Linked DNA regions of Pelodiscus sinensis. The protein of the gene in region 1 purifies or fractionates together with the protein of each later gene. This does not show direct contact. Links are inferred from orthologs where the notes say so. Each region holds a gene or a part of one and is shown on either strand. Other genes may lie near its edges. The genes, in order: VAPA, TACC1, AKAP11 and VPS13C.

Region 1 (8,177 bases):
ATGGTGCTACCTGCTCTGCAGAGTGGTCCTTATCGACTACACGATTAGTCAAATAACTGTAGTTTAACATCCCTAGTGTCAATAACAAATTACATGATTTTTAAATGGGACATCTGTTTAAAGTCAAGAGATTGATAGCAAATTAAAACTTCAGATTGATAATGAACACCCAGCAATTACTGAGCATATCAGTGGAGATTAACAAACAAATATATTTTCAAATCTTTCAAATATCAAGAAACTACTGTATAGCTATACCTTCTTAGATCTCAAGATATAAACAAAATGTTTGAGGCTGAAAGTTGGAAAAATACTCTGTTTATGAAGGTAGGATGGTTCACTGGATAAGACCTCTAACTAGAAGGCAAGAGACCTGGGTTGTACTCTCAGCATTGCCTGTGGACCATTCAGGAAATCACTTCAACTCTGTGCCTCAGTTTTCTCAATTTATTTTTAAAAATTATTATAATTATACAAATGTTAGAAAATAAATCCTTTGGGGGCAAAACAAAAACTGTTTTTATTCAGGACTCTAAAAATCCTAATCTGGGTGTCTGGTGTGCACACGTATTTGACGTTAGCAATGCTATATGAATCAACAACTTTCCATTCACCCATCAAAAAAACTTCAGCAAATCAGTGGCAACCATAGTAACACTCTATTCTTTTATCAACACAATATAATTTTGCCATATTAGATTTCAAACAGAACCTATTTGAAGGTACATTATCATCAGATTGCTTAATTGGTATAAAGGAAAATATATCACTTAGTCTCCCTCCACCAACTTTCTAAGTTATTTCATTGGAGAAAGTGTTTTGTTGATGGTCAGAACAATGGGCAATTAATATAAAAGTGTACATAGTGGGATGGCATGTAGAATGAGCTAACAGATCCACTGTATCTGAAATGCACTAAGTTTGGTCCTTCTATACAGACACTGAAAGGCCCTACTTTGCTTCATACTCTTTAAATATCCCCTTCCAGAAAAGCCTTCCCAACATCTATACTTGTCTAAATAAATTTTAAGTTTACACTTAATTCTTACAGCTCCCATTCCAAAGGTGCATACTGAGCCTATTTGTTTGCTTACTCATATCCTTCCTATACACTTTGAGTAAGAATCATCATTGGACTGCAATCTCAACAACTCTGTTTATACCCTGTAAATGTTATGTGTTTTGGGCTAAAAGAGACATTTTAGGACTAGGTCAATACACATGCAATTATAAATATTAGCTTTGGTGTGACATGCATCTATGCTCATTCTACTCTTCTTGTGAGATGTGAAATATAAATACAGTGCAGTCATTCTCCAAGACCACGTACAATTTTGGGGCCTGCTACTCTGAGAGAAACTTAAACTAATAATGTTTTAACAATGTATAATCAAAAAAATCTACAATTTTGAGTGTAACTACCAAAAAAACTAAAGTAATTCCTGAGGGTTTATTTTAATTGACTAAACGGGTAGAGAATAATTCAAAGCTCTGAAATGAAAATCAGTTTGGTATAAATCTGTCTTCTCTGATAAGGTTTAAACCTTGTTGAAAAAGCATGGGCTATCTAAAGTTAGGAACACAGTTACCTTCTGTAAGGTACAAGATCACATTAGCTTTTTCTACTTGCCCATTAAAGGGTTCTACAATTAAACTTTCAAAATCTCTCAAGAAACACAAGACTGTCTCGGGACCCAAAATACTATAAATAGAAAATGAACCTGAAAATTAACACAGTTAAAAGTAAAAAGTTAAATACAAACAGAGTAAAGGATTAGCTAAAAAGTATAAGAACTGCCAATACTATTTGAACAGCTAAGGCATTTGTATTTATGCAAATAGTCTTATTTATAATTTCTCAACATTAACCGTAACAATTTTGTTTCCCAGTAAATGCTTTACCTAATAAATGTTCCACTTAATGCCCTTTGTCAATCTGTAAGCACTGAAACTTACCACATAATTATGAATACCCACCCCCTTCAGCACAACTTGTTTTTGTTTGGTTTTGGTCTTCATCTTCTAAGGAGCCTGTCTTCCTAACAACTGAATGTGCGTCTATCTACTCAGAATACCCCTCGCTATTAAAGTTAGGGTTTATCAGGAACAGTGTATTTAATCAGCTATTTTAAGGGAACGGTTTTAAGCCAAACAGAATAAGACTGCATAGCTGGAGCCATACAAATAGCTGACACATTACCAAAAAGTTAATGAACTGCCTACCGACACAATCCGAAGGTTTCACCTAAAAGTGATCTGAAATACGCCAGCGTCGTATCATCTGCCTCCCAAAAGGGTCAAACTCCATCTGGGAAAGGAGCGTGCCATAGCAGATCCTCTAGCGATACCAGCGGATGGTGCAAAATAGCACCACTCCCTCCCCGCTACTAACCATTGTTAACAGCTGGCCTCAGCCCAGCCGCAAGCAGAGCGCAGCTACGGCCAGGGCACAGATTGCAGAGCACCTGGGGACCGATCTCTCCCCACACACGCTCCATCCCCCGGACCGCTCTTCCCTGCTCCGGGGGTGGGGGGGGCGCACACGCCACAGAGGTGTCGGGGGGAGGGAGAGCTCTGGCCAGGGCAGCGATGCCAGCGCAGTCCCGGCCGATGGAGGCCGGGCGATGTGGGAAGGTTTAAGGGCCTGCGGCTCAGACGTTCCCGGCATGAGAGCGGAGGGTCCCGGCTCCCGGCCCGGCAGTATCGGCTGCTGCGGCACCTGCCGCTTCTCCCCGCAACCCAGCGGCCTGGAGCCGGAACCGGGCCCGAGGCGGCGGCGCTGGCCATGCCCGAGACACACGATTCCCTGCGGGAGCTCAAGATGGCGGCGGCGGCGGCGCCGTGTCCCGGTCACCGGCTCTGGTTCCCCACCGCGCAGGGAGACCGGTTCGGGCCCTGCCGCCGCCGCCGCGTCCCTCGGAGAAGCCGGGGCCCACGCGGGGGGCGACCCAGCCTGCCCGCGCCACCCCGCAGCCCCTCGGCACGAGGCAGCCCGGCCCGCGCGGCCCGTACCTTTGAATTTGAGGTCGGTGGGCGGATCGAGCACCAGGATCTGCTCCTGCTTCGCCAGAGTCCCAGCGGCCGCCATCTCGCTCGTTCGCTCGCTGCCTGCCGCGGGGGGAGGGGCCGGGCAGAGGCGCCGCTCGCTCGCTCACGCCGGGGAGGGGGAGCAGCAATGGGCTGGGGTCCGGACCGAGCGGCCGCCGCCTCGTTTCCCCCTCCGCGGGCGCGCGCACGCGTGCTCCTCTAGTTCCCCCCCCTTTTTTTCTGTAAGAATTGATTCACCCCCCCACACACACACGGCGGCCGCGCGCGCACTGCGATCAAACGCCAACCTCCCCCCCGGGCACGAGGGCTACGACGGCAGTGGCGGAACCCAAGTGACGCATGCGCGCGGCGTCCTCTTCTTTCTCCCTCGCTCCCGCCGCCGTCCGTTGACAGCTCGCTCGACTTGGCCTCGCGAGCCACTTATCAGTCAGTCACACACTGCCTCGGCTGAGGCAGCAGGGGGCGCGTAATCTAGACGACTCAGATCGCGAGAGCGGTTCGAGGGAAATGAAAGAAGGGCGCATGCGCACCGAATGGCGATGGAGGAAGCGGTGTTCGACGTGGCCAAAGTTCCGCTTCAGGACTATAATCCCCAGCATGCAACACTCTGATGGTGTTGGAAGCATTGCATGCTGGGAATAGTAGTCTTCAAGGGCTATATCAGTGCGCGGCACAAGGGTGGGGTGGTTGCCATTGGCTTCTCCTTAATGCGATTGATGTCTGAGAGGAAGAGAGGTGAGATCCGCCCTCTGCTGAAGGTAGAGCTGGATGGAGCAGGTTAAGCGTTTGCTTTAGGAAAAGGTTTGTAGATAGAAAAATAACCTCACTTTGCTATAGACACGTGCACTCTGGACCTCTCTGCCTTTTCAGTGGCCCAATGTAGACCAGGTTGTGCTCAGGGGGGCAAAAACTGGACTGTTTCAGTGTTGGGTTGTAAGAAGATTAGCCCCATTCATACCAAAGAGTGTCCAATATCCATGATTGAAAATGAGAAAAACAAGCCACAATTTATTTGTAGGTAGAAAGCTGGGAAATTCACTCCCTTTTCCTGACTTTAAACGTGAAATAAATTTCTACAAAGAAAATGTATTTTCCCTTTCATTCTCTCTGTTGCCTTCCCCGCTCTCCTTTCTAAGGTTTGCATTTCTACTTGTTCTTTAAAAATAATACTCTTCGTAGGTAACAAGACAAAGGATTACATTATTTACAAACAGTATAGAAGAAAATATGACCTAATCTAAAAGTTATTAAAATAATGTGAACTGTAATCCATTCAAATCTTCCCAAAGGAGATGAGGACTATACTGTACATGTTACACGTGGAGTCGATTGCTCTTTTCCCCCTCCCCTTCTCCCCTCTCCCCTCTCCATCCCTAGGTACACTGGCAGAAAATGTCTAACTAAATGAGTGGAAGGGCAGCAATGAAAATGATAGGTCCAGCAAAATTGTAACAAATATCTTGCTTGAAATCTAGTGAAAATATCATAGGAGCATTAACAGGAACAGCACAGTCATATTTCAAACAATATTTACTACTAATAATAAATATCCATCAATTAATAATTTACAATTTTTGCCCTAAGGGTTGGATATCTCACCCCAAAAGTCAATTTCCCACAAAGAAATAGGGTGACAATTCCAAATGGAAAACTGACAGCATTCCCCCCCTTCTGGGTACTGTGGTTTAGCAGGCGAGGGGGAAGGGAAGGGAGGAGGAGGCAGGGCTTAACCTAATTCCATTAAAATCAATGCAAGTTTTGACATTGACTTCCATGAGAGTAGAATTGTGTCCTATCACTAGTTCTAAGTGCTGATGAGCAAAATCGCAAAATACTCTTGTTTGGTTGTGACTATATAGTTTATGTTGGTAAGTCTGATGGTGGAGCTTCTGTATGACGTGAGCACAAGAATGATCCAGATGGTCCTAGCAAAACTATTCTGGTGCTGTGTGCTGTCCAGTACTAATTTTATATTGCTCCAAAAACAAGATTCTAAATTGTTTCCTTTTCTTTATTTATACAGGCAGTCCCCGGGTTACGTACAAGATAGGGACTGTAGGTTTGTTCTTAAGTTGAATCTGTATGTAAGTCGGAACTGGCATCCGGAACTGATCTGGAAGCGCCACGGGTCCGGCCCCGGGTCCTGCGCTGCTTTGCTCCCCGTCTCCCTGGTCTGCTGGCTCCCGCAGCAGACCAGGGAGACGGGGAGCAGCTTTTCTCGCCCCGGAGGAGGCGGGCGGCGGGACCAGGCGTCCCGCCGCTCCAGTCCTCCGGGGCGAGAAAATCCCCGTTCGTAACTGCGAATCCGACATAAGTCGGATCCGCATAACTCGGGGACTGCCTGTAGTAATACTGTATATATCAAGTTGCCTCCTGATTCATGTCTAGTGGGAGTTTTCCACTTTTTCCCTACATCCAGGATATGTCTTTCTCCCTCAGTTCTAGTTACACAAAGACTGGTAAATACAACTATCATCTCTGTCATGGTGTATTATTTTTCTCTTGTTCACATTGATTTCCCTTTTATTCTTCTTTATATTCACTAGCTCCACTGTAAGCCGTTCCAAAGAGAAAACTAGCCCCTCTTAGTCAGCTCAGAATTTTTGTCATATCACTGTCTTCTTGAAAGAGCCTCCCAATTAGTCAGATTTGTCTCTATTTGCAGAATTTTAAAGGCCTAACTTTTTAAGGACCACAAGTTGGGAATAGCTGTAAAATTTCAACTGCCACAGGCTCTTCCATTGGCATCAGTCTTCTAAGCTGAAAACTACCATTGGCACAATTAAGCCCTTCATTTTTAGTTTGGATTTAAATGGTGAAATAATGTCAGTAGTATCTCATAAAACTGTGGGCAGGATAGACATTACTGCAAATTTTTTCACAGAGCCATGAGGGCTGCATCAGGCAAATTATTGAATAGGGTAATTTGCCTATAGTCATAAATTTGAGTTTCTGATCTAAACATCCTGGTAGTTGCAGGGATACAACATGGAACTGAATAAACACTGGTAAATGGGTGTATGCTGACACAAGTCTAAGAGCAGCTGGCAACTGGGTGGGGATTTTGGGGTGATGATGGGGTATGGGTGAGTGAGTGGGTGCTGGACTAGTTAGAGGTACCAGGCTATTTATGAGTAGTGGACTTTCTTGTGTAGTGAGTATTTGCTGATTGCTAGTTGTAGGATGAATTCTGGGTCATCAGTGGCAGCTGCGGATCGCAGGGATGTTTACATGGAGCAGAAAGGCTATTAGAGATAAGAGCATTGGTGGTGCTCGTCCACTGGGTAGCATCTGAATCTGTCCTTGTGCTCAGCTTACAGGGAACACTGGTAGCAATCACCCAGCAGGAGTTGGAGGAATCGCAAGGGCTGGGTCCCATAAACAAGGATCAGGCCATTATCAGAGACCCAGAGGTCTAGAGGCAGGAGTGAGAGTCAGGTTGGAGTTGGAGACTGGGTAGGCTGGAGCAACAAAGCAGGAGAAAAGGCTGGTCACAGTCTGTGGTTACAGAATCAACTTCCTGGGTCAACCCCTGGGATTAAATGAGTGTTTGGCTAATCGTAGGACCCCAGAGTACTGTCACTCTGGATCGCCTGAGCAAGACATTCTGCTGTGCCTATAATCCATAATAGGCTATATACCTATGCATGAATTCTCAGTGGCAATGAGGGAATAGCAACTGTTCTAGGCTCCGCAGATGCAGGTTTTTGTTCTGGGCTCTTATGACTGAGGAGTGAGTGCTAAAGTATGGGACTATGCTATAGGGCTGTCAACTGCATGAGTGTTACACAAGATTTATGATACTTGGCTCTCTGCAGAGTGTTCCAAGAAGAACATGTTAAATAGGTAAAGAAAGATCCATGCATTGTATCAATTAAAGTAATAAGAAGACAAGCAGACCAGTATCAAGATAACTCAGTTGGCAATTGGAAGTCTAAGACTTTGTCTTTCCTCACTTTTTTCTTAAAATGTCTCACTTTGTTACTACTGGCTCAGCTCCACTACTATTGTAGCAATGGTGGTTAGTATTATTTTAACCATCATGTCAAGCTCTGAACAGTGTTAGATACAAGGGTTAAAATTACTGGTGCAGGAGGCCCCCGCTTTGCGACGGCCTGATTTATGACCCCCCCCCATACTTCCGACCTTTTCTGTAAGTGTGAAAGAGGCTGAAATCCCCTAACTTATGTCCTCGGCCCCGCATTTACGACAGCGTACGATGCCTGTTGTAATTGCGGACTTGAGTTATGATGCCCTTGACTTGCGACACTATCTCTGGAACCAGTCGCATCGCAAATCGGGGGCAGCTTGTAGTTGCTTTGTCAGAAAATGTTAAGGGAGTAAGTTCAGGGTGGACATAGTCTTAAGGGTGACCAGACCAAAGCTTGCAGTTCAAATAGATGGTTTGGACCAACCTTCCGACCTCCTTCATAAATTCAGAAGAGCAACTTGAGGCTAATGCTGAGTCTGAGGCAGCTAGCATGAGAGAGCTAAAACTGGAATTCGGTTCCTGCTCTTTTCACCTTAGTAGAGATGAGCAATTTGTTACACTAGAGTCTATCCAAACCAAGGGTGGGCAATAAGCACTCTGTGGGCTGGATGTGGTTTGCCAGGGTTAGCTTCTGGCAGGCTGCTGGCCATTTTATTTACCTGCATCTCCACAGGTATGACACGCACAGCTCCTGTTGGTCATGGTTCACTGTTCTTGGCCAATGGGACCTTCGGGAAATGGTGACTCATAGCGTCCATTGGCCGAGAACAGTAAATGGCGGCCAACGGAAGCTGCAAGTGAACATACCTGTGGACATGCAGATAAATAAAGCATCCAGCAATTGTCCAGGAGCTAACTGTGTCTGGCTCAAAGACCACTTATTGCCCACCACTGATCCAAATCCTCACATTTCTAACAGTAAATAAAAGCAGTATTATATAGCAAGCAAAAGACAAAGTAAATAACAGAGGGGTAGCCTTGTTAGTCTGAATCTGCAAAAGCTACGAAAAGTCCTGTGGCACCTTAGCACTTGCACCCTCTTTCAAGAGAGGGATACAAATGAAGACATTCAAAATTGCAAATGGAGCCGGGATTTAAATATCCCGCTCTTCATTTGTGTAATTGCATTATGGCGCTA
Region 2 (7,713 bases), on another chromosome or scaffold:
GGTACCGGCCCTGTGCTCGCCTGTCGTACAACCGGCCGGCCCTGCCTGGCAGTTTTATCCTGACAGGTTCCGCAACCTACGTGCGTTTCACACCGAGATCACAACTCTCCGCCGATCTACGCGCTTCTCTTCCCGCCAGCCCATCTGAGCATGGGGCCAGGCTGTGCCCATCTGCGCGCCCCGTAGCCATTTCCCCACCTCGCTGGCCCCAATGCCTGTTACATGGGCCGAGGCAGGTGATCGTTAAACTGGACTGACTTCATGGGAGGTGGGTAAAGGGAGGGCTCCCCCAGCCCCGCCCCTTCTACCCAGGCCCCGCCCCTTCTACCCAGGCCCCGCCCTATGAGAGCCAAGTCCCCCTTACCCCCGCCCAGCACACGGCCCCAGCCTCCCTGCCCTGGAGCATGGTACTTTCTGGGGGCGTAGCCAGTCTGGCGGTTTGGGAAGGCAAAGCCTCCCCGCGCCTACCGTACCCGCCACCCCACTGACTCCTGATTACTCCATGGAGCGCCGGGCAGCTCCTGGGCGTCTGTCCCATGCCCCCTGCTCCCAGCCTCCCGGGGACCCGAGACACGTTGTTCTGAGGCGGGTTTAATGGACGCATTAAACGGTCCAGTAGCCGTGTGAGCACAGCACTCACAGCCATCGTTTCGGGGACAGGGCGATGGATAGAGCCTCCTAACACAGATTGCTTCGCCCCTACAATATTCCACGAGGAGTAACGGTAGTTCGGATAGGAAGCCTAGTCCGAACTACCTAGTTCGTGCCGCGTGTAGCCGCGCTGCACGGGGTTCGAACGAGCAGGGATTTAAAAATGGCGGCTCCCCGCTTATGCAAATGAAGCCCGGGAAATTCAAATCCCGGGCTTCCTTTGCAAGTGCGGTATGCCTACATTACCCTCCTAGTTCCAACTAACTCTGTAGTGTCGACACACCCTCAGAGAGCTGGGGCATGACCACGGCAGGGCAAGCGGTTAGCTTCCCAGATTTGCAGCCCCAGCGGCAAGTCCCGCAGTGCAGCCCGGGAACACGGCACCCACCCTCGGGCCGCGACACCACCAGGAGACAGCTCGCTCGGGCGCGGACCTCCGGCTCAGGCGGCAGTTTTTAGCAGCAGGCACCCGATCTTCCTGGGAAGAATTCTTCCTCCATCTGCACCTGGCAGCCTGGAGCCGGGCTCAGCGTGCCCAGACGGTCAGGCTGCCCAGCTGTGGTTCTGTTCTCTGGCCAAACGCCCATGAGGCACTCCAATCCCTTCACCCATGACTCAGTCTCTCCCAAATGTCCAAACAGCACCCCTGTCATCTCTGCACCGTGCCACCGCAAGTGCCAACCTCCCCTTGGCCGGGCAACAGCTCAGCTGCAGCCGGCAGCGAGAGGGGCCGCGGGACGAAGCGGCCTGTGAGCCCTACAGCACCCGCCAATCAGCCGCCAGAGCAGTGACCCCGGGAGCCAGGCAGACACGTCAGTGCCTAGCCCAGGCAGGTTTTCAGGAAGACGTTAGGGAGGGCACCTGGAAAATGCAAAAAATCTGAAACTCTCCTTTGCTCCTTTCCATCAGGCCGAGCCGCCTCTGGCTGCAGGCTCTGCCCTCCGCTGGCCTGAGCCAAACACCAGATCTCCAGACATCTCGGCAGCGCTGTCACATTCCTGCCTGCTCGCTATCTCTGCCCTGCGGCTAGTGGGGGGGACCAACTATTGCACAACAGCTGGGGCGGGAGCCGGGGAATCGAGCCGACTCCGTCACATGTCAGGGCCCCTGAAAGCTCTTCAATAAATCAACCCTGCACGAAGCTGAAAATGGCCCCTGGCAGCAGGTGCATAACCCGGAGCATCTGCATTTAAACCATGCAGGCCAGGCACTGCCCAAGCAAACAGCCTCCCTTCCCCGGCCCACCCCATTTCCAGCATCCGGAGCCGAGTATGAGACCAGACACGCGGGGCCTCTCTTTACCTTGGATCCCGGCCTCGGCCGCGTCCCGTCCCAGCGCGGGGTCGCAAGGCTCCTTGACAGGTGACCGGAGGGGCGTGTCGGCTTCAGGGGTCTCAAAATTGCCTTCCGAATCCGAGCTGCCAACGAGGGAAAGAATGAAGAATTACCACTCTCCAGGCAAGCTCAGCGGCGTGCCCCAAACTGCCACCAGCCTGGGCCCCGGCTCCCAGGCCGACCCGCAAATCAACCCAGCTGGCAGCCACGGCCGAGTCCTTCCTGACACGGCAAACGTGAAACCAGGCCACAGTGAATTCTCCTGGAAACTTCCCTGGAGCCCCTCCCCGCCCCGGGTGCCCATCCGGCAGAGATCAGTCACCCAGCACCTTGATCCTTGGGTACCTGTCGCGCCGGCCCTCAGCAGGGGTCACTGACCCAGGGGACGTGGCAGCCCTGGGCAGCTCCTTCCTCTGCTGCGGCACCTGCCCTGGGTGCTGGGAAGTTCAGCAAACAAGGCTTGACCTGCGCGTTCTCCCCAGTGCGAGACCAGAGAGCACCGTGCCCCGGAGCCTGCCCCAAAGCCCGGGCACAGCTTCCTGGCTGCCCAGGTGCCTTGGAATCCACACAGCTGAGCATTCTCGAGAAGGGGCGCCGGCCCCGGGGGTTCACCTGGCGAACGCCCCCCACGGGGCGCGGGGAGCCGGAGGGCAGGGCAGAGCTGGCCGAGGCGGATGCAAATGCTGGGGATTCCACGCACAGAACAGTCAGCGCGCGCTGGAGGGGGAGGCTGGCAAGCAACACAAATGCGGAGCCGGCGGGGGGTTGTGCCCCGGGAGGCTGCGCCGTGCGAGGAGGGCCGTTCCACGTGCAAACCCGCCAGGCCCGGAGAGGCCCATGCAAACGCCAGGTCCCTGCAGAGCAGGGATGCCGAGTACTTGCCTGAAACTCAGGGATTTGGTCTCTGCCTGTGAGTCATCCTCCTCCATCTCTCGCTCGTCCTCACCGCCATCAGCTGCCCCTCCCCGCACCGCGGACCATGTCCACCGGGCCCACTGGACCGGGGAGAGGATCTGCCAGGGGCTGAACGCCATGAGGGCAGCTTCCCCGGCTCCGGCGGCCCGGGGAGGCTTTTCAAAATGGAGGGGAGCGGTGACCGACGCCTGGGACTATTTCGAGCCCAGGCACGGATGTGGTTAAGTGCGAAGCATCGGCTCCTCGCCCTCGGCAGCTTCCTCCGGGGCAGGCTGCCTGCCGGGCTGCGGCGACTCCCCCAGCTGCTGCCCGCCCTGTCGCCGAGACAGGAAAAGCAGCAATGCGTCCCAGATGGCCCCGGCGCGGCACAGCCCTCAGCAGCCCCGGCTCCGCCACCTCGCCCCTCGCCGCTGCATGCCAGCCCCGGACTCCCCGCATCAGCTGGCTGCCAGAAACATACTGTACATTCCCCCGCAGCCTCCCCCTCGGACTGTACTACTCTCGCCGGCGGGGAGGGCGCCCGTCTCCGCGCCTCCAGCCTCGGCACGCCGGCAGCGCTTCCCCTGCGGCAGGGGGGCTGGCCGGGACCGACGTGCGGGGGGGCGGGCAGGCGGCGGGGGGGCGAAGTTACCAAGCCCGGGCGGAGAGAAGGGGAGAGGAGCATTCAAAGGAACTCCCCCCCCAGCCGCCTTAGCAACAGTCTCGGCTCTGGGAGTGAGTAATCACTGGCTTTCTCCAGCCCTCCGGCCGGCTCCCTGTTTATCTCTGTGCGGGGGGGGGGGGGGGGGGGCTGCACCCCGTGGAGATGCCCTTGGGTTTTTTCAGGCTGCAGTTGGGCTGGACTTTCCCACCGGCTTCCCTTAGGCATCAGATCCTCGGCCTCTCTGCCCCGTGTGCTGCTGGAGCCGTTCCCGGGGCGCTGCCCGCTGGGGGCCACTGCAGCCCTGCAGAGCAGGGTCCTGCCGCCCACAAGCGGGGGCTGCCTCCGAACACCTCCCAGGTGCGCGCAGGGGCCCGGTCCCCCTGGCCTGGCACGGGGGGGAGACATGCCCGGTCCGGCCGGGGAGCAGCGCGCCCACGCGGCAATGGGCACAAGGCAGAGGGGTGGCCTCCCGGGTGGGGGTTCAACTCTCGCCCGCTGCAGCCTAACTCGACGGAAACGCACCGGGCAGCTCGGCCGGGACTCAGGCAGCGCCTGGACTAGGGCTGCAACTGCAACCGTCTCAATGCATCAGTTACCCGCTGGCTCCCGGGGAGCTGGCTGCCACCCCGCGCTGCAGGCTCCCTGAGGGCAGAGCTGAGAGCCAGAAGTGGGGCCAGGAGACAGCTCCTGGGGCACATCAGCTCCCAAGGAGCCAGCTGCTGCCTCACGCCTGGGGGCTCTGCAGTACCAAGCTTGTGCAGCAGGGCAGTCGGCTCCCTGGGGGCGGGGCTGGCAGCGGGAGCCGGCTCCCAGTGCGCGCTGGCTGCCGGCCCTGCTCCCGGGGAGCCGGCTGTGCCGCGGGCTCTGAGGTACAAGCTTGGTACCGCAGAACCCCCAGCCTGTAACCGCTACGATTTTTACCAGCTACAGTTACCTAACCAGCTGCTTTCCGACATCCCATAGAAAGACCCTCCGTGATACAGCGGGGGCCACGCAAAGAGCTGGACAAACAGGACAAACAGCCCCCTGGCTTTCAGGAGGCCACTGTCCCAGCCACGAGCCCCACGCCCCTTCTGCAGGACACAAGGTTTCCCACCCCTCTGGGCCTGGCTCAGCTGCCGAGTCTGCATGTCCTGCTCCAGCACTTTTTCGGAGACCTGGGGGGCACCCAGGGACAGACAGGACCCCCTCGACTGACGGGCAGGCTCCGTGGCATGGTGCTCTCTGGGTGCCTTGGAATCCACGCAGCTGAGCATTCTCGAGAAGGGGCATTTTAACCACCCCAGGGCAGCACGGCCCCTGCAGCTCCCCGCCATGCCAAAGAGAAGGGGGTGCTGCAGCCCACGCGTGCCAGGGACGCCCCCTTACAGGGGTGTCAAGGGGCCTTTGCAGTGTGGGCCACTGGCTGTTTCTGGGGCTGAGCCGCGCCCAGGGGAAGAACAGCCCGAGGGTCTGACAGCCATGCCACAAGCATGCACGGGGCCACCTCCCCCCCACCCCCCGCTGCACCCCACAGCACCCAGTCAGCAACTGGCCCAACCCCCTGCCTCCGACACTTCCCTGGGAGCCCGGCTCCATTCACTGGGGACCAGAGGGAAGCTCGTTGAAGTCACGCAGAGCCAGAACCAGAACCAGGTCTCCTGGCTCCCAGCCTCGTGCCCTGCCCGCAGGGCCACACTGCCTCTGGCGGGAGCGCCCGCGATGCAGGACACACTGCCTCTGGCGGGAGCGCCCGCGATGCAGGACAGTGGAACTAGCTGCTATTCAGGGGTGAGGAAACGGAAGCGACGTCTGCGCGGGGTACGGGCACCCCCGAGCAGCTACGAGCTGCAGCGAAAGCCGAGGGAGCAAGACACGCAGTGCTAAAAACTGCTGGGTAGATGCAGGCGGCCTGGCCTAGGCGGTGTCTTGCCATCCACACCACTATTTACACTCGCACTAGCCACACGTGGTCTGCACACCACCGTGAATGCAGCCACCCCACGAGGCACCGAGGTGTTAAGTGACTCGTCCAAGGTCACACAGGAAATCGGTGGCAGAGTCAAAGAGCACACCCAAGCACCCTGACTCCCAGCAGTTGCTTTAATAACCAAGCCCTCCTCCCTGCTGGAGGGCTGGAGAGGGACTAGGAGCCCACGCTTTTCCCCTGCAGCGTATGGGCTGCAGAGCACAACCTGATTTGGGGGAAGATCTTTACAGAAGCAGATCTGGAGAGCTGTGACATGGCATTAAGGGCCCTCTTGTGCCGCAGGCTAGAAGCTGAACACTCCCCCTCTCCCCTCCCCATCCAAGGCTTCCCCAGTCACTGTCTGTGCAGGGGCCTCGCTCGTGCGATCGCAGGGCTGCATTAAAACCAGCACACGGCAACCTGGCTTTTCGGCCAGTGGCTCTGCGGAAAGACGCCGCCGCGAACGCTGAACAGTGCAAGATGGCCGGGCGGTCGGCAGGAGGAACCCAAGTCCGCCGCAAAGGGGAAGTATCTGGCTCAGCACGTTTGTATAACCCTCCACTTGTTGGACGGGGATCAGAGACACGTGAGCCAATCGGAGGAGGAAATGAACAGCATCCTTCTATTGTGAGGGCGGCACAGTCAGTGCTGCCAAGAAAGGAGCCTCCCGTCAGCCACAGGAGAGGAAGGAGCAGGCAGCGGCGGGGGCGGTGAAATCAAACTGGAACGCGCCTGAGACCGGCGGGGGAGCTGTGGACACCCAGCGCCCCAGGCGGCGCAGACGCACGTTTATCCGGTTAAGTAATTACACGGGATTTAACATCCCGGGTTTCGCAGCATCTGTACAGACCGTCCGGTCCAGCTGCTTTCGGGGAGGAAGCCGGCAGCGCACGAGCCTCACATGCACCGAAAGGCTCGGCAACCATCCCTCATTTGTACCTTGCTCAGGCTTTTCTAACAGGAAAAGTTTCTTCATTTTCATCGACTCACAGGGCTGGTAGGCATCTCCATCGGCCGGCGCTGAGCTAGGACCGAGTGAGCCCAGACCATCCCTCACAAGCGTCTGTCCAACCGTTTCTTAAAACCTTCCTCGGAGCGGGATTCCCCAACCTCCCTCGGCCCCGTCAACGATTGTCCTGAGATCCAGCCAATTACCTCTTGTCCTGCCCTCCGTGGCCGTGGCCGGCAACCGGCCGCTATCCCCGTGGTAATTTGCTCACATATTTGAAGCCTTTCACCCCCTCCCCCCGGGGTTCTCCTTTCTACACCAAACACGCTCGGCTCTCTCAGCCCTTCGGCCTGGCTCCTGGCTTCTAGACCTTGCACTTCTGTGGCTGGCCTCTGGACCCGCTCCGATGCGCCCAGCTCTTCCCTCTGACCCGGGAGTGAGCTGGAACAAGGCGCCGCGCAGGCAGCACCGCCTGGTGGCAGAACCGTGAGATGCAGCCCAACGTTTCCCTGCACAAGAGAAGCCCTGGGAACGAGGTCGCATCTCTCCCGCGGCTGCTCAAAAACTCAGACTGGAAGGTCAGAAGGGACCATTTGGGATCATCCAGCCTGACCTCGCACGTTGCAGGCCACAGAACCCCCCTATACACACACACTCTCTCCCCGCCCCGTGACAGGCCCTGAACCTCTGGCTGAGTCACTGAAACCCTCAAAGCTGTATTTAAAGACGCGGGTGACAGAGAATCCGCCTGTTTCACAGGCTTGAACAGCAAGTGCCTCGTGCTCCATGTTGCAGCGGAAGGTGAAACTCACCCAGGTCTCTGCCAATCTGATTCCTTCCCGATCCTGGCCATGACCATCAGCTGTAGGCTGGGCTGTGGGCTAAGCTCCGGGCAAGGCTCCCGGGCTGCTGGAAGAGCAAATCCAGCGCTGAATGTTGCAAACGCAAAATCAAGCCTGCTCCCACCGGGAGGCCAGAGCAGCCCTGGTCCACAGCTTCAGCCCCCGTTGGTTAACTGGAACCAGAATGCCTCACCCATTAAGGGTAAGGCTTACCCGTAAACTGATTAACCATGCACATCCCTAGCACGGGTACAAAATCTGCATCCACATCTGCCACCACAAAAATGATCCGTGGGTATCTGCACCCATGGGGAGCTGCAAATTTGCAGGGTTCTAGCTAAAAAAATTGTATCCGCATCCACAAAAATGAGTCGTGAATATCTGCATTCACACCTGCCAATGCGGATACCATGTAGATTAAGTAGATATC
Region 3 (7,681 bases), on another chromosome or scaffold:
CCCCACAAGGCTCAGTGTGTTGAAGCAGGAAAGCAGGGTATCATTGTGAAATGGACAGGTCACTGATGGGTTTAACCTAAGGGGGTCCTTTTAAGTCTGTTACCCGGTGTGCTGGTCATGTCACTGAGCCCCCACCTACCTGCCCCTGTGGGACACAGCACCATCCTGTCCTGCTGGGCCAGAAGCTCTGGTGTCCCCTAGTCAAGGCAGAGTAGGGATAACAGCCCTCAAAAAGATGCTGAACCAGCTCAGCTATATGACCATTGACAGCACCTACAAACAGCCCCAAAGAGTAACAAAACCCCAATAAATCCATATTACGCTGTATAAAAGTTTTACACGGTGAAAGCTCACAAAGGTCAGTCCCCTTTATCAATGAAAAAGAAATATGCAGAATCGTTGCTCCCCCCTCCAGCTAACAATTATTTACATTTGGCTTGATTATAAACAAAAGTATTTTTTATTAAGTGTAAAAAGTAGGATTTAAGTGATTGCAAGTGAAAACAGACAGATCAAAGTACTAAGACAAAATAAAAAGAACCCACCAGCTAATTCTAATACACTAAGAAACTTGTTATATGCAAATTCTGACCTTAACAGCTATTCTAATGATCTTCCACAAACTCGACAGCCTTCTTGAACCTCTCCGCTGTTCAGTATTAGATTTTCCAGCAGGCAACTTGCATAGTAAGTGGGGACAGGTGGTCTCCTGGTGTCTGGCCACTCCCCCTGTTGCTTTGATGTCTCACTTTAATAACCTCATTGCCCAAGGTGGGAATTTTGTGATCTCTTCAAACTTTTCTCACCTCAAGTGGCAAAGTACAAGATTCCAAATGGTTTCCAGCATCAGGTGGTCTGGCCACATGTCCTTATAGGACCAGCCACAGTTTGGGCTTACAACAAAACCAAAACCATTCACAGGTTGTTAACTTATGCACAAAACCATTATGTCTCTGGAATATTACTAATGGCCCTCGTTAGGCCATCTAGAATTTTAAACAGATCCACAATTTATATATTTCTAACTAGCCATACAAGAATGATACATGACACAGAATTAGAATATAAACATTCAGCGAATTGTAACTTTAAAAATGTCAGAATGCATTTTGCCAAAAGCATCTTTAGGTTATGGATATTCATAAGCCAATTTGCATAAAGTATGGGGGGGCACGACAGTCACTCTTTTAGGGTACCTTGGTATAAGGGAAGACACATGACTGAGTAGTTGGTTCTTTCCTGGATAGCAGAACCACAAGGTATCATCTTTGTTGCTGAAAGCAACTGAGAAGTTGTCTCTTCTTTCTGTCAACCCAAGCTCTGTGGGTATGTTTGGGTGGCCCCAGCCACACGGATGTAGCTGTTTCTGTAGGTCTTCACTTGCCAGGCTGGCTTTGTCTCAGGAATGTGGATTAAGCCAACCTTTGGGGATCTTGGGGGGAGTCCTTCATTTCGGTGTATTCTCAGAGAATCCCTGCTCAGAGCGCTTAAACAAACAATTCTACTTCCTGTCATTTCTTCCTACTAGTGCTTGTGTTGTGTTCTGGGGGAGAGTTCCTGCTCATAGGCTGCTTACATGATAGGGGAGTCTCTGTAAACTCTGCATTAAATCAGTATGTCCATAAAATGAAAAATAAATCCAATTGGAACACTATTTTTAATACACATAAAAAAGAAAATAGAGCAAGAGTCCTTGCACTATATACAAATCTATTATATATTTTGAAGTGTTTGTTTGTTTGTAGATTTGTTTGTGCAAAATAAAGTCATACTTCATGTCAAGGCTGTTTCCCACTCTGGCACTCCAAATGCAGAAGGTGGGGTCCCGCAAGAGAGCTTCAAAAACCTTGCTTCTACAGGCACTGGTTACAAAACTTTCCCCCAGAATCCTAACACACAGATTTTGGGGAATTTGCTGCCATCATCAAGTGCTTTTTGAGCCTTAAAAAACAGTGGTGAACACCTGAAACTACTCCCAGGGGTATCCCAAAAGTTCTTTTGCCCCAAAAGAGCTTGAAAAAGAAGAGAGAAGAATAAGCTGTAGTCTCTGGTAGCTGACTCCTCAGTCAGAGACATGCAGAAACACACAGACAGACCTTCCAGGACACAAGAATAAAATAATCACCTTAAAAGAAGTGATTTTTATTACAAAATAAAAGATAAACGTGACAAACCACACTTGGTTGCTAGATGTTATAGAGCAACTGTGGAAACTGAATTAAAACAGAGAGAAAAAAAACTCTGGCACAATGCTTAGATGGTAGTAAATGGGGAAGGGAGGCACAGATTCACACAGAACCGTTCAAACCAAACCACACGATAAAGAAAAATTACCCTGAACACGACTGGACTCACATTTCCCTGGTACTCACTTCTAATTTGCTCTTTGTTCAGTCCGCTCCTATGCCCTGAATTTGGGGGGGGGGGGGAGGGAGCAGAACACAAACACACACAAAAAAGCAGGCCAGGGGTCCTAGATCCAATTCAAATTTCAACTCTATCCCCAATAGCTCTCTTGGCCCCCTGGCTGACACCTTCCCTAGGTTCCTGAGTTAACACCTTAGTCACCGGGTGCTGGTCAGCACTCCTGTTCATGTCACTTTGTGATTACCTACAGATACCAAATTTTGCATAAACAGTCCTGCCATTTAAATGAGCTGAATGCACTACTTTTTACACAGGAATATGCTGGGTGAAAGTTTTAAATAATTATTTTCGGTTTTCATTGGAAAAAGGTCATGACTTTTATTATTTGAGTTCATAAAAATATTTGCTAACAAAATTAAAATCAAGTTGCCCATTTTACTGTCATTTTAGTTCACTGAAAATGTTTACTGTAACAAATCACAAAGTAATCCAAATTAGTTATGGAAAGAGTAATGGAAGCAGGCCTCACCTGGTAGTATTGTATAACAGTGCATGAGAACCTGAAAGTGATATTGACTGTAATCTATAATAGGGTCAATATGTCATTAGGCTTGGAGTAAGTACAGTAATTCCTCATTTAACACTATAGATATGTTTCAGAAAATGATCATGTTAAGTGAAAACATGTTATGCAGGATCAATTTTCCCATTGAAAATAATGGAAAAGGTGGGAATTGCGTTTCAAGCGGTGGTGTCTGTTGGGACCGGGACATAAGATTGGGGGAGAAAGGGAACTGGGTTACAGCAGGGAGGGGAGGTGTTTGGCTCTGGGGAAGGGAAGAGGAGGAGAGGAGAGGGGGATTGGGTTGGAAGTATGCCCCTGTGATGGGTCCGTTGGGACCCGCACTGCATCCAGCGAGGGGGGGGGGGCACCGGGGAACAGCACAGCGAGCGGCAAACTCTCCGCCGCTTTGCAGGGAGGCTGGGGAAGCCCCGCGCAACCACCAGCAATGAGCCGGCTGGGGAAATCTTCTTATTCTGGGGACGGTCATGTAATTCAAAAAACGTTCCAAAAAAAATCGTGCTATCGTGAAAACGTATTACACGGGCACGTGTTAAATGAGGAATTACTGTACAGCACTGACTTTAAACATTGTCAGAGAGAAATAAAGAGACGAGTTCTCAGGGCCTGACTTTGGGAACATGGATTGAGACTGTGCAGTCATTGCCTCAGTTTGAGCATCCCTGGAAATATACCTCCCAATCTTCTGTTTCCTATTGTCATTGTAGGAGGGGCAAGATACAACTTTCACTGACATCATTAAGCCTCTTTCTATTGAGTCAGGGCAGGCCCTAGTAGAATATGGAAAAGACGTTGGGCTTTTTACATTTCGTGCTTACCAATCAGGATACCTCAATTCAGGGGCAGGAGCAGCTGAACGCAGAAATCAAAAGCCTGGCTAGGGCTAAAGGGAGCGTTTGTGTGCGAGACATTTAGACTCTGCTGATTGGCACACAACAGGTTCGCTCTTCTGAATGCTCCGTTGTTTGTGAAGCCTCTCGGGGTCTCGGCGTTCCCTGTGTACAGGCTCGGCGGGCTTTGATGGGACTTGTTTTTGCCGCCGCCTTCCCATTAATTTAATTGGGAGCAAGAGCTAGTGACCAACTTCTACCTGCCTGCAAAGTGGGGCTGAGACAGCTAACCCGCCTGGGGGGCGGGGGGAGGGAGTTAACTCTTGCCAGGGGCACTTTGGCCCCCGAGCCAGATGCACCAGACCCGGCTGCAGCCTGCCCGGCTCCAACGAAAGAAGCTCCTGGAGCCATCAGGAACCAGCAGCGGAGCAGCCGCCTAGCACTAGCGCGCCCCTTCTCTGCCCAGGCTGCAGGGCGTGGCTGCCCAACCCGCGCGTGGGGGGGCCCGTCTGCACAGCGGCGCCTTGAACCGGCCGCGGCTCCCAGGAGCGCCTGACTTGAGCGGCGCGCGCACACGCGCGTAACTCCCTCCCGGGGCCGCGTTCGCTAGCTCCACATCGGCTCGCTCGCCCAATAGGAACCGAGGCCGTCCGTCACGTGACCCGGCCGCCCTCCTAGTTGCGCACGGGGGCTGTGCGCGAGATTGCAGCCCGTCGGCCCCGCCGGCGAGCCTCGCGAGGGTTGGGTGGGCATCGCGCGAGCGCGGCGGAGGCAGGGCGCTGCGGCGGCTGGAGCGGGAGCGGCCGGGCGCTGAGGGGGTGTGACATGGCTGCGGGCGCAGGACGCTGCGGACCCAGGTACGCCCCTCCCCCTCCGGCCCGGGCGGCGCAGGCTCTTGGGGGGGGGAACGACCGGGGGGCGCCCCCAGTTCCCTGCGGGACGGGAGCCGGGGCCGCTTCGCATCCCCTTCGCCTCACGAGGAGCATCGTTCCCGCTTCCCCGCCTGGAGCGCTCCGCAGCCGCCTCCCCCCTTCCGCTCGGGGGACACGCTCCCTCGCGCTGGCCCTGGTGCGTGGCCGGGACCCAGTCCGGCTACTGGCCCGTGCGAGGCTGCTGGGCGTCTGCAGCCCCCCCCCCCCCCCCCCCCCCGCCGCCCCGGTCCAGCGGGCTCAGCACTGCGGTCTCTTCCCGGTGGGGAGCTGAAACCCATTTATTTGGTGGTCGGGGGGGCTCTGCTGGCCCGCTGGGCTGGTGCCGTGGGTGGAGCGCTGCTCCCAGGGACCGGTTAATTGTTGCCCAATAAGCATCACATCATTAAGGGTGATGCTTACCGTGTAACCAATTGCCCGTTCGCCTCCCTGCTTCCAACCCCCCCAAATTTGGCTGCAGTTCTCTTTTATTGTGGGCTGATCCCTCTTAGTGCTAGTGGCTGCTTCATGGCTTCACCCTAACTTTCCCAAGCAGCCAATTTCACTTCTGCCTAAAGGATCCAACACTAGGCTCCTGACTGGAGTTCTTGAGTATTCTTGTAATAAAATGGGAGCATCATAAAAATGACAATAGTCTTCTTAATTTCACTATGCTGCTTCTTGGGAAAGATACCAGTGGTGGTAGAGGCAATGGAGCTGTCCATCTCAGACTCAGGAGGACAGCACTGTGTCTCTTCACATTTGAAAGGTTCTTTCATAACTTTAAGGATAGCCCTTAGATATGCTAATAGACATAATACAAATGGAAATAGAAGCTTGTTTTTGAGATCCTAAATGATAGGCAAATTGGTGGATTTGGACCCATTTCTCAGGTCAGCATCTCAAGGCAGTATGAATGAATTGGCAAGTGGATTTTTCATGTCTTGCTTTTAGGCCTTATGCTGCTAACTATTCATGCTGTATCAGCTTTGTACATCTCTCCTGAAATTTCACTGCCCTAAATTAAATTTAGAAGACCATTCACTTGATGAAAAAACTAGTGATGTTACTTACTCTTATTGTGGATGGACAGCAAAGAAAATAGAATGTTTCTTCCCAATTTGATTTACTTGTGATGGCACAATCCTTTTATCTTCTGAATTCTATGCATCCCTGGCAAATAACTTTTAATCTTGAGCATAATTTTTGTGGCCTTATTGTTGCAGCTACCCTGTCATATTCTGCTGTATAATTTTCCTTAATTTAATGAAGACAAATTAAGCTAGTGGACCATTTCTTTGCCACTGAATAATGTTTTCAGAAATATTTTATTTGATAATCTGAAGTTCCATATCCAGAAGCTATCCTACTCCCAACATTTTGGATGGTAATTCTGAAGTTTTGACAGATTAATCAACAAAAGTCTGTTGGTTTAAGAAAACATTTGCCTTTCCTTAAAATTGCTTAAAAATGTGTGTATTAGGGTAGGAAAATATTTATTTTTGCTTACCTTTATTGATTCATTTCAGAAAAACTGCAAAATAATAAGTATTTTTTGGGGTTCTTTTGCTGATACTCCATAAGAACTTGATAGCCATACTTGGTCACATCAGTGGATCTTGCCTGGTATCCTGTCTTTTGACAGCGGCCAGTACCAGATGCTTCAGAGGGAATGAACAGATCAGGGCAATAACCAAGTGAGCCATCCCCTGTTATCCTGTTCCATCTTGTGGTACTCAGAGGTTTAGGGACACCCAGAGCATGGGGTTCCATCTCTGACCATCGTGGCTAATAGTTATTGATGGTCTTTCAGAAACTTAACTAGCACTTAGCTAGCCCTATCTTTCAGGAATTTAACTAGCTCCTTTTCTAAAGCAGCTATATTTGTGGCCTTCTCAGCAGCCCATGGTCATGAGTTACATAGGTTGATAGTCCATTGTGAGAGGAAGTACAATGTATACTTTGTTCATTAGCCTGTTTGTTTATAAGCCAACTCTCCTCTCCCTCCCCCCGCCCGCATTCCCACAATGGATAGTTTAAAAATGGCAAAACCCTATGGACTCTTTCATAAGCCAATCTTATATTGCAGAGGGTGGCTTTGGCTCCCAATCTGTCAGGGATGACTTGCTGGTGCACTGGGGCATTTTGTTTACATGGAGCATCTGTAGGCAAGAAGCCTTGCAGCTCCAAGTGGCTGTGATTTATCTTATGGGAAGTGGTGTAGGTGAAGGGATGTGCTGACTGCCATTTCCAGCTACTACCATTGGAAGTGGCAATGCTCAGTGTCTGTGGATGCTCCAGGTAAACAAAATGCCCCAGTGCACCAGCAAGTTATCCCTGACGGGCCGGGAGTCAAAGTTTGCTGACTCAGAATCTGCAATGACAACAGTGACCTATTGATAAGCCAACCTCTGCTCTTTGATGATTCACATTTTTACCAGAAAAATTCAGCTTATGGACAAGAATATATAGTACTTGTTTTAAATCTGATGCCTGTTAATTCCTTTGGGTGACCCCTCATTCTTGGGTTATGAGAAGAGGTAATAACATTTCCCTATTTTTTCCCACACTATTTATGGTTTTATCAACCTGTATTATAATTGCATTAGTCATTTGTTTTCTAAATTGAATAGTCCTATTCTTTTTAATCTTTCCTCATATGAAAGCTGATCCATTACCCATATCATTTGTGTTACCCTTCTGAGTACCCTTTTCAAATCTCATGTGCCTTTTTTTGAGAAGGGGTTAAGTGCCCGCAGTTATCAAGGTTGATTTGTATAGTGGCATCGTGATATTTTGTCTTATTGTCTGTTCCCTTTCTAATGGTTCCTAGCATTGTAAGCTTTGTAAAATACAACTAAAGAAGCTTTATGGATAAAGAATACTGGACTATTTTTATGACCGTTATGCTGTCATCTATGTTGCTGATACACTACCAGGAAATAAACAAAAATAGCCATGTTAATTGTTACTGTGTTGTTAACATGGGAAAA
Region 4 (7,743 bases), on another chromosome or scaffold:
TGTCCATGCAGCAGCTTTTCTTATTCAATCAATTGTTGGCCACAAAACACAGTTTTATCAGTCCCTCTCATTTCTAATCTAGAAAACTTCACCCGAGGAACTCTGGTCACATAAGCATTCATGTCCACCATGCAAGTGATTACAAGTGAACATTTTGTGATGAGAGGTAGAGTCTGGACTTAGGCTAACAGATGTAGATGACCATACGTTTCATTGTCTGCTCAAATTAATGCTCATATTCTCGTTCTCTGATGACTGTTTCATTCATTATGGAAACAACGCTTAATACAGTCATCTCTGAAACTATCTTTTTAGAATTTCTCTGTTAATTGTTTCCTTCATATCAGTACCCTTAACAGTAATTATTAATTCTTCACCAGCTTCTGAAGTTTTTCTTTCTGTTTTCACAGGCTATGGTTATCTCGGTACTATCACAATCGCTGTTCCCAAATATTAATTTCTAGTTGACTTCATTATGTTAATTTATACCAGAGCACCTGTGCTTTTTCCGATAGGGGTTTCTTGCACAAGAAACCCCTGTTGTCCGTCCACACACGCCTTTTTGCGCAAGAGCTCTTGCACAAAAAGGCTTATTTCTTGTAGAAAAAGGAATAGCTCTTGCGCAAAAAGCCCCACCTTCTGATGATCTACTGTACTTTTTCTTGCGCAAAAATGCGCTTGTGGTGCGGACGCTCTGCGAGTTTTGTGTTTGTGCAAAAACTCTGCAGTGTAGACGTAGCCTTAGATGCTACACAAACATATAAGATCTGGTACAGAAGAAGTGGGTTAGACTGTAGACTTCATGTATTCCTGTCACACAGCAGAATTCAGTATCTGCTTAGTCTAGTAGCAGTAAAAGGAATTTATATAGGTGAAGATGAAATATGGTTATCATTTGTTTTTAAGTATTTGTAAATTAACCAATGAAAATAAAAAGGCAGATGTTTATTTGTCCTGTGCAGAATTTATGAGGGTAAGAGAAAGAGGCATGATGTTTTCCCCATTACCTGTTATATGAAGTAATCGTGGCAGCTCATTTCCCTAGATAAACATTTAGGATAATTGCATATTCTTTCCCAGTGTAGCTTGCTGTGAAACTCAGTCCACTATTACTTTTTTGTGGTTTTCTGATGTTGGCAGCCTGAGGCAGAGAGAGTGGGGCTCCCACTGTCAGCCAGCTGAGGCTGCACAAGGCAGCAAGAGCCCCCATGGTCAAAATAATCTCGGGTGAACTGCGTCTGGGCCACTTATTACCCACCCCGAGATAGAGAATGACACCCCACTACAGCTGTTAGTTATTCCATAGCTCAAGAGTCATTAGTTTGTGTGACAGATCAAAAGCTTCTGGCCGTGTTGATAAATCAGATGGTGTCAATATAAATCCATGTGATGAACTTTGTTTTTTGAGGTTTGCTTTTTAAATCTAGCAAATTACCCACAAAAAACTCCACCTCGAGCAGCTTTGTAATGCTCACATTTATTCATAACTCTCACCTCCAGAAGGCTCATCTCTACCTTAAGTTTACAAGTAAATCAACTAATAATGATATACAAAGATGTAACTGAGATGTATATTTTGTAAAAAAAAAAAAATCAAATGTAAGTAATACATCCAATCTGCAATCTGACCATTTGCCTAGTGCATTGTATCTTTCTCCCACCCTTTATCTTTTCTCTTATTTTTAAAACCGTTAGTGAGTTGGGGCAGGGCTGGTTTTCTTCTGTATGCCTCAACACACATATTACTTTAACTCCCTGCAAGCGATAGCTAAGGGATAAGAGAGTAATGGGTTTTTGGAGTATCTAACGTGCAGCTCATGGCTGGCCTGCTATATGAACAAGGAGCAGATACACCACCTGCACTCATAAAATCTGCCACTTTGTGTCCCTGTAATATTCAGTTAAAATGGGTGTAGATTTCATGATAGAAGGTGAATTCTCATTATTTCCACAAACACTTTTTCAGTGCTTCTAGATCACTGGTTCTCAAAGTGTGGTCCGTGGCAGGAGTTCACTTCCCCTTTCTTCTCCCATGCAGTGGGGAGCCCTCGCTGCTGCTGCAGCCTTGTGGTTGGTGTGCAGCCATAAGGCTGCACCACCAGCTCTGGCCAGCAGGCAGGGAGGTGAAGAAAACAAACCTCCACCCCCGGCACAGGCCATGGAGCTACATATGGAGGAGTGCCACCACAATGGGAAGACCCTACTTCCAGCCTGCTTCTGCTCCCAATCCCTATCCTACTCACTCTCAACCCTGTCCCACACACAGAACCCCTCATTTTTGTCCCCACCCCAGATTCTAAGGGGGTCCATAAAATCCACTAATTCCAGAACCCCAGAAAAGTAAATCTGGCCAATGGGAAGCCCAGAACCTCAGTCCTCCCTCTCCCTTCTCTTACCCTCGCCCCATGGGGCCGGAATGCCAGAGGACTGAGGTATCTCAGTCAGGGACCACATCCATGAGGGCTGGGGATTTTTGTTTTTTGTTTTGCTTCTCACTTGTGTGAGAAGTCCCCAACTTACTTTTCTGTGGGCCAGTGGCCCCAGACACAAAAAAGTTCCCCACACCTACCATAAGTAAAGAGGTCGGATTGCTGCCTGCGAGCTCCGGGGCGAGAAAGCCCCGTTCGTAAGCTGGTCCCGGTGCCCCTGGTCTGCTGGAGACCGTCTCCAGCAGACCAGGGGCACCGGGGCTGAAGCCGCAGCAGCGGCGGGTTCCCGCGCTTCTGAGGCTTTGCCAGAGCAAAGCCTCAGAGGCGCGGCACCCCGCTGCCGCTGTGGCTCTGCTCCCCGTGTCCCTGGTCTGCTGGAGTGGGGGTGCAGCTAGTGTGCCCCCCCCCCAGCAGACCAGGCTTTTGTTGTGGACCCTGGGGCAGAGCAGCTGGGGCGCTGCCGATTGGTCCTGCAGCGCCGCTCTGGGCACTACTGGACCAACCTGGCAGCACCCCAGCTGCTCTGCCCCAGGTCCTGATTCAGCCGCTGCTGGTCAGTTTCAGCAGTGGCTGAATCAGGACGCCTGGGGCAGAGCAGCTGGGTTGGTCCAGTAGCGCCAAGGAGCGAGGAGCGGTGCTACTGGAGCAACCCAGCAGCACCCCAGCTGCTCTGCCCCAGGCGTCCCCAAGTCAGCCGCTGCTGAAACTGACCAGCGCTGACTACAGGAAGCCCGAGGCAGAGTTGCTCTGCCCCAGGCTTCCTGGAATCAGCCGCTGATCAGTTTCAGCAGCAGCTGACTTGGGGACGCTTGGGGTTCTTAAGTTGAATCTGTATGTAAGTCAGAACTGGCGGTCAGTTTCAGCAGCGGCTGAATCTGGATGCCAGTTCCGACTTACATACAGATTCAACTTAAGAACAAACCTACAGTCCCTATCTTGTACGTAACCCGGGGACTGCCTGTAGTGACCATGTGTCCATTTTAAGGAATGTTGCTTATTTGGTGCCTAATCTGGGCTCACCAGTTAATCATTTGGTTACAGGCAAGAACCATGCAGGCATGATATGTAACCATATATGAAGATCTGTGAGATGGTTTGTCTGAAATACTTTTGTCCTTTTTTTCCCTTAAAATAGACAATCAAATGTGTTAGATATAGTAGGCATTAGAGGGGACAGCAAGTAAGGTGCCCATCCTTTGTCCCCGCAGAAGGGACTTTGTTTACAGAGTCTGACTCTTGGTTTGACAATGCCACTAAGCCTCACCAGCATTAAGCTGCTGGAACTAACACAGGCTGCCTTAAAACATGTACACTAGGGATGTAATAGTGTAACCGACGAACTGGTTAACCGATAGGTAAAACACTTATAGGTTAATGCTATAGACGACTCCCATTTCTCCCTCCCTCTCCCTGACCAAGAAATTTGTTAGCAGGCTGGACAGCAGCCTGGCTCAGTCCTGGCTTGTACCAGGTCCGGGCCCTGCTCCTGCTGTGGCTCTTCATGTCAAGTGTATTCACAGCCAGATGGGCAGCAGCCGGCTCGGTCCCGCCTTGCGCTGGACCCAGGGACTCAGCCCTGCCTCAGACAAGGGCTTCTGCCCCCCCCCCCCCCCCCCCCCGCTGCTGCCTCTGCACCAGGGGGTGACAAGCAGCCGGATCACGAGGGGGGCTGGTTTTTAAACTGGATCCCCTTGCACAGCGGCTCCAGGCAGAGGCTCCTCGGAGCAGGGTGGGAGCGCGCTGGCTGCCAGCTGCCCAGGGTGGGCGGGGCTACACCCTGCCCTCCGGCGCGTGGAGGGGGAGGGGCCTTGCCGTGCTCCCCCGCGCGGCGGGACCAACCAGGCAGGCGCGACGCGGTGAGTGACAGGGCCGCCGGTTCCGCGGCGCCGTCGCGCTGCGGGGGCTGGGGCGAGGACCCGCCCCCTCCGGCGCCAGGCACGTGACATCAAGGCGCTGCCGGGCGCGCGCCTGGCGTTGGCAGGCTCCCCGCGCCCGCCGCCATGGTGCTGGAGTCGGTGGTGGCGGACCTGCTCAACCGCTTCCTCGGCGACTACGTGGAGAACCTCGACAAGTCTCAGCTCAAGCTGGGCATCTGGGGGGGTAAGCGCGGGGCGGCGCCCGCGAGCCCCCCGCCCCCCCCGCGGGCGTGGCCTGCCGTTAGCCCCCGGCCGTTAGCCCCCCGCGCCGGCCGTTAGCCCCCCGCGCCGGCCGTTAGCCCCCTGCCGTTAGCCCCCCGCGCCGGCCGTTAGCCCCCTGCCGTTAGCCCCCCGCGCCGGCCGTTAGCCCCCCTCCCCCTTGGCAGCACGGGCTGGGCCTGTGGCCGCGCTGCCTGCTCCAGCGTTGGACAGCGCCCGAGGCGGGCTCTGCCCTGTCGCCTGGCTCGTGGCAGGGGGCAGCCAGCGACTGCCTGGGCGCCTCGGGGTAGCGAGCGCCTGGCTCGGGCTTTGCCAGGGGCAGGACTGATAGAGACGGGCGGGACTTGGGGTGTCTGGTTCTGCCTGCCCCTCGGGTGGGGGCTCGGTGCGGGGTCCAGAATGACCCCCCCCCCGCTGCGAGAGGGACTTGATATCGCAAGTCAGTCACAAGCGGCCAGATACCGGAAGCCTCCCAAAAAGCAGCTTCTGGCTTTGGTGGCTTTTCCCAGTGGGTTGTTTGATCTGTGGGGCTGGGCTGCAGCAAGGCGCTCAGTGAGATCAGCTCTAAGGGGAGCATTAGCAGAGCTGTGCATGTGTGGAAATGGCCTGGGAGATGGCGGAAGTCTCCGTTGCTGGCTGGTGCAGTTGAAGAATTTGGTGGTTAGAAGAACTGAACACAAACGTTACTGTAATAACGCCTGAAATGACTTACCGCAGTGTCTGGAGTGGCTTATGACAGTGCAGACTTTGGTAGATGAATGATATGTTCCCTCATTAGAGTTCACCAATGTAATACAATCTAAGTACTACTGTAGTGTTATACAATAATGGAGTTACAGAGGAAGACACTCCTGTCTGTTTTACTGCCCAGGTCAATTACACTAGAAATCACAAAAATTTCAAGTGACCCTGCCTCCCCCCACCAAAAGAGCACTCCCTTGTCCAGGCTGACTTGCATCCTAGGTCTCTCTCAGTATTGTGTAGCCAATATTCTAGGAATTTCCTAAATTAATTTAGGAAATACAGGCTGAACCTCTGTAATCTGGATTTCCCTAGTCTGGCAACAACCCTGGTCTGGCATCTTTGGTGACCCAGGGGGACTCCAATGCTGGAGAAGTCAATTGGTGGGTTAGGGCCAGGAGCGTTGCTGGACTAGGAAAGAGTGGCTCCCAGGAGCCAGTAGTGGGGGACTGGCACCCTGGGATACTGGAGGGGCTAGCATTGATTTTTGTCTGGTCTGGCAAATTCCCTGGCTCAGGGCTGGTCAGGTCCTGAGAGTCCAGGACAAGGGAGATTTAACCTCTAGTACATAATACTTGTTACCTGTGTCACACTACAGATGCATTGGAAGTGGTAAGAACTAAATCTCACATGCAAACACAATAGCTCTTATATTTTATTAAATTAAATCTTAAATGTTACATAAGTTTCATATTTTCAGTTGCAGACAGCTGAGTCAGCTGATGGCTGTCCTTAAACTTTTTTAAATATTCAAATTTTATTATTTTTAGCAGACAAATCAGCAAAACACTAAATGTACGTTGCCCTCAAAAGGTATACAACTAGCTCTCATCTTATACGACTAGTTCTCATCTTCCTTCCACCTACTGCCAAATGGACTGAAACATTTAAATTTCCTTGCTTTTTCAACTCCCAGTTGATTTCTTAGCTGTGAGTGAATAATATCATACAATGAAAATATTCTCTCTCTGCCTGCAGAGTAGGGATGTCAACGTGTATACTACACAATTAACTGATAAGTTTGGGCTTATCAGTTAAGCTTGTGGATTACTTGCAGTCCCCCCTTAAAGCTCCCCTCAAGCACTGGATCTGACTTCTCCCTGCCCCCTGCACTGCTCTGATAGAGAGGCAGCAGCACAGAGGGTGAGGAGAGCAGGCGGGAGCTGATACGTGCAGGAATCCAGCTTTCAAGTATGTTCTGTGGACCCACCTGCCCTCCCCTTGCTGCCTCCTGCAGAGGCAGTGGGTAGGGAGAGACAGGCAAGAGCTGGTACTGTGGGGAGCTGGCTTAAAAGTCAGTTCCCCCCAAGACCAGCTCTGCAATGCCTCCTGCCTCGGAGTGCTGATGCCTTGATCAGAGGTAGCAATGTGGGTGGGGGTGGAGGAGAGGCTGCCACAATGCAGCCTCTGTCCTCAACAGCTCGGGCTTGCATTGCAAGCAAGCACCCCTTGTCCATGGGGTGGTGGTGTCTGAGTTCCCTTTGGGCAAAGGCTGCTCTGTGGCAGCAGAGCTTGGACCGCCTCCCCCATCACCACTGACGGGCTGCTGCTATCCGTACTGCTGCCTCTGCATGGAGTGGCAATGGGCTCCTCAGGAGTGGGGCTGAGAGCACACTGGCTGCTGCCTCTGCTGACTATTGAATAGTTGTGTAACTGCTAAAATTCCTGCAGTTAAGTACTATCTAACCTCCCCACTGAAGAGGAAATTATTGATGTGAAAAGTTGGTTTAGCAACTGAAGGAAGGTGCCTGGCTAATGACTTCCACCAATTCAGGGGAGTGACTTTGTTCACAACATCGTCGGTAAACATATACTGATTAAATGATTTCACTCCAGCACTGAAATTTTATTATGACCCTCATAATTGAGAAGTGATTTTTGAGATGTACATGCCATGGCAACATTACCATTTTCAAAAGTTAGGCATCTACCTTTCTATCTGGGGTTAACAATGTTTGCAAGAAAATGAGGCAAAATTAGTGTTTGATCCATTCACTTCTTTATTGCCTTGCATCAATGTCTCTTGAAATGCCTTGTAAATTTCGACGGTATCAGCAATGCAGTAGTAGTTTCTTTGAAGTTTGTTTAAGGCTATGAATAATAGGTTTCAGTATACTGAACTTAAGGATATTAAATATCAGTTAATGAATAGTCAGGTAACCTCATGAATTCTTATTGCTTAGTCGACTGTTCTGTAGTCCCTGGAGGCGGGGCCGGCAGCAGCATAGGGTGCCAGGTGGGAGCTAGACTGCGAGGAGAGCCAGTTTAAAAACCAGCTTCTCTTACGGACCAACTGCTTGTCACCCTGTGCTGTTGCCTGTGATCAAGAGGCAGCAGTGCAGGGTGGCAGCAGCCTCTGTTTGGAGGGAGGAGCTGAGCTTCCAGACCCCGTGCAAACCAAAACTGAAACAGGCTGCCTGCCTGCCCACCCATTTCCT

The links.
Region 2: the proteins of VAPA (region 1) and TACC1 purify together in Homo sapiens (co-immunoprecipitation; 4 studies listed by BioGRID and IntAct, counting the BioPlex papers as one, with this or other methods). This does not show direct contact. The link is inferred for Pelodiscus sinensis from reciprocal best matches to the Homo sapiens genes VAPA and TACC1.
Region 3: the proteins of VAPA (region 1) and AKAP11 purify together in Homo sapiens (co-immunoprecipitation; 3 studies listed by BioGRID and IntAct, counting the BioPlex papers as one, with this or other methods). This does not show direct contact. The link is inferred for Pelodiscus sinensis from reciprocal best matches to the Homo sapiens genes VAPA and AKAP11.
Region 4: the proteins of VAPA (region 1) and VPS13C purify together in Homo sapiens (co-immunoprecipitation; 3 studies listed by BioGRID and IntAct, counting the BioPlex papers as one, with this or other methods). This does not show direct contact. The link is inferred for Pelodiscus sinensis from reciprocal best matches to the Homo sapiens genes VAPA and VPS13C.

Annotation. Positions count from the first base shown.
Region 1 is NC_134712.1:85,505,446-85,513,622, reverse strand, and holds the start of VAPA (vesicle-associated membrane protein-associated protein A), read right to left. Parts: upstream 3,527-8,177; 5' UTR 3,089-3,526; coding exon 3,013-3,088; intron 1-3,012. UniProt on the Homo sapiens protein: Endoplasmic reticulum (ER)-anchored protein that mediates the formation of contact sites between the ER and endosomes via interaction with FFAT motif-containing proteins such as STARD3 or WDR44.
Region 2 is NC_134738.1:15,724,755-15,732,467, reverse strand, and holds the start of TACC1 (transforming acidic coiled-coil-containing protein 1), read right to left. Parts: upstream 3,496-7,713; 5' UTR 3,021-3,495; coding exon 2,869-3,020; intron 2,070-2,868; coding exon 1,954-2,069; intron 1-1,953. UniProt on the Homo sapiens protein: Involved in transcription regulation induced by nuclear receptors, including in T3 thyroid hormone and all-trans retinoic acid pathways. Might promote the nuclear localization of the receptors.
Region 3 is NC_134711.1:284,842,348-284,850,028, forward strand, and holds the start of AKAP11 (A-kinase anchor protein 11), read left to right. Parts: upstream 1-4,446; 5' UTR 4,447-4,637; intron 4,638-7,197; exon of another isoform or gene 7,198-7,681. UniProt on the Homo sapiens protein: Binds to type II regulatory subunits of protein kinase A and anchors/targets them.
Region 4 is NC_134724.1:41,480,151-41,487,893, forward strand, and holds the start of VPS13C (intermembrane lipid transfer protein VPS13C), read left to right. Parts: upstream 1-4,327; 5' UTR 4,328-4,429; coding exon 4,430-4,529; intron 4,530-7,743. UniProt on the Homo sapiens protein: Mediates the transfer of lipids between membranes at organelle contact sites. Necessary for proper mitochondrial function and maintenance of mitochondrial transmembrane potential.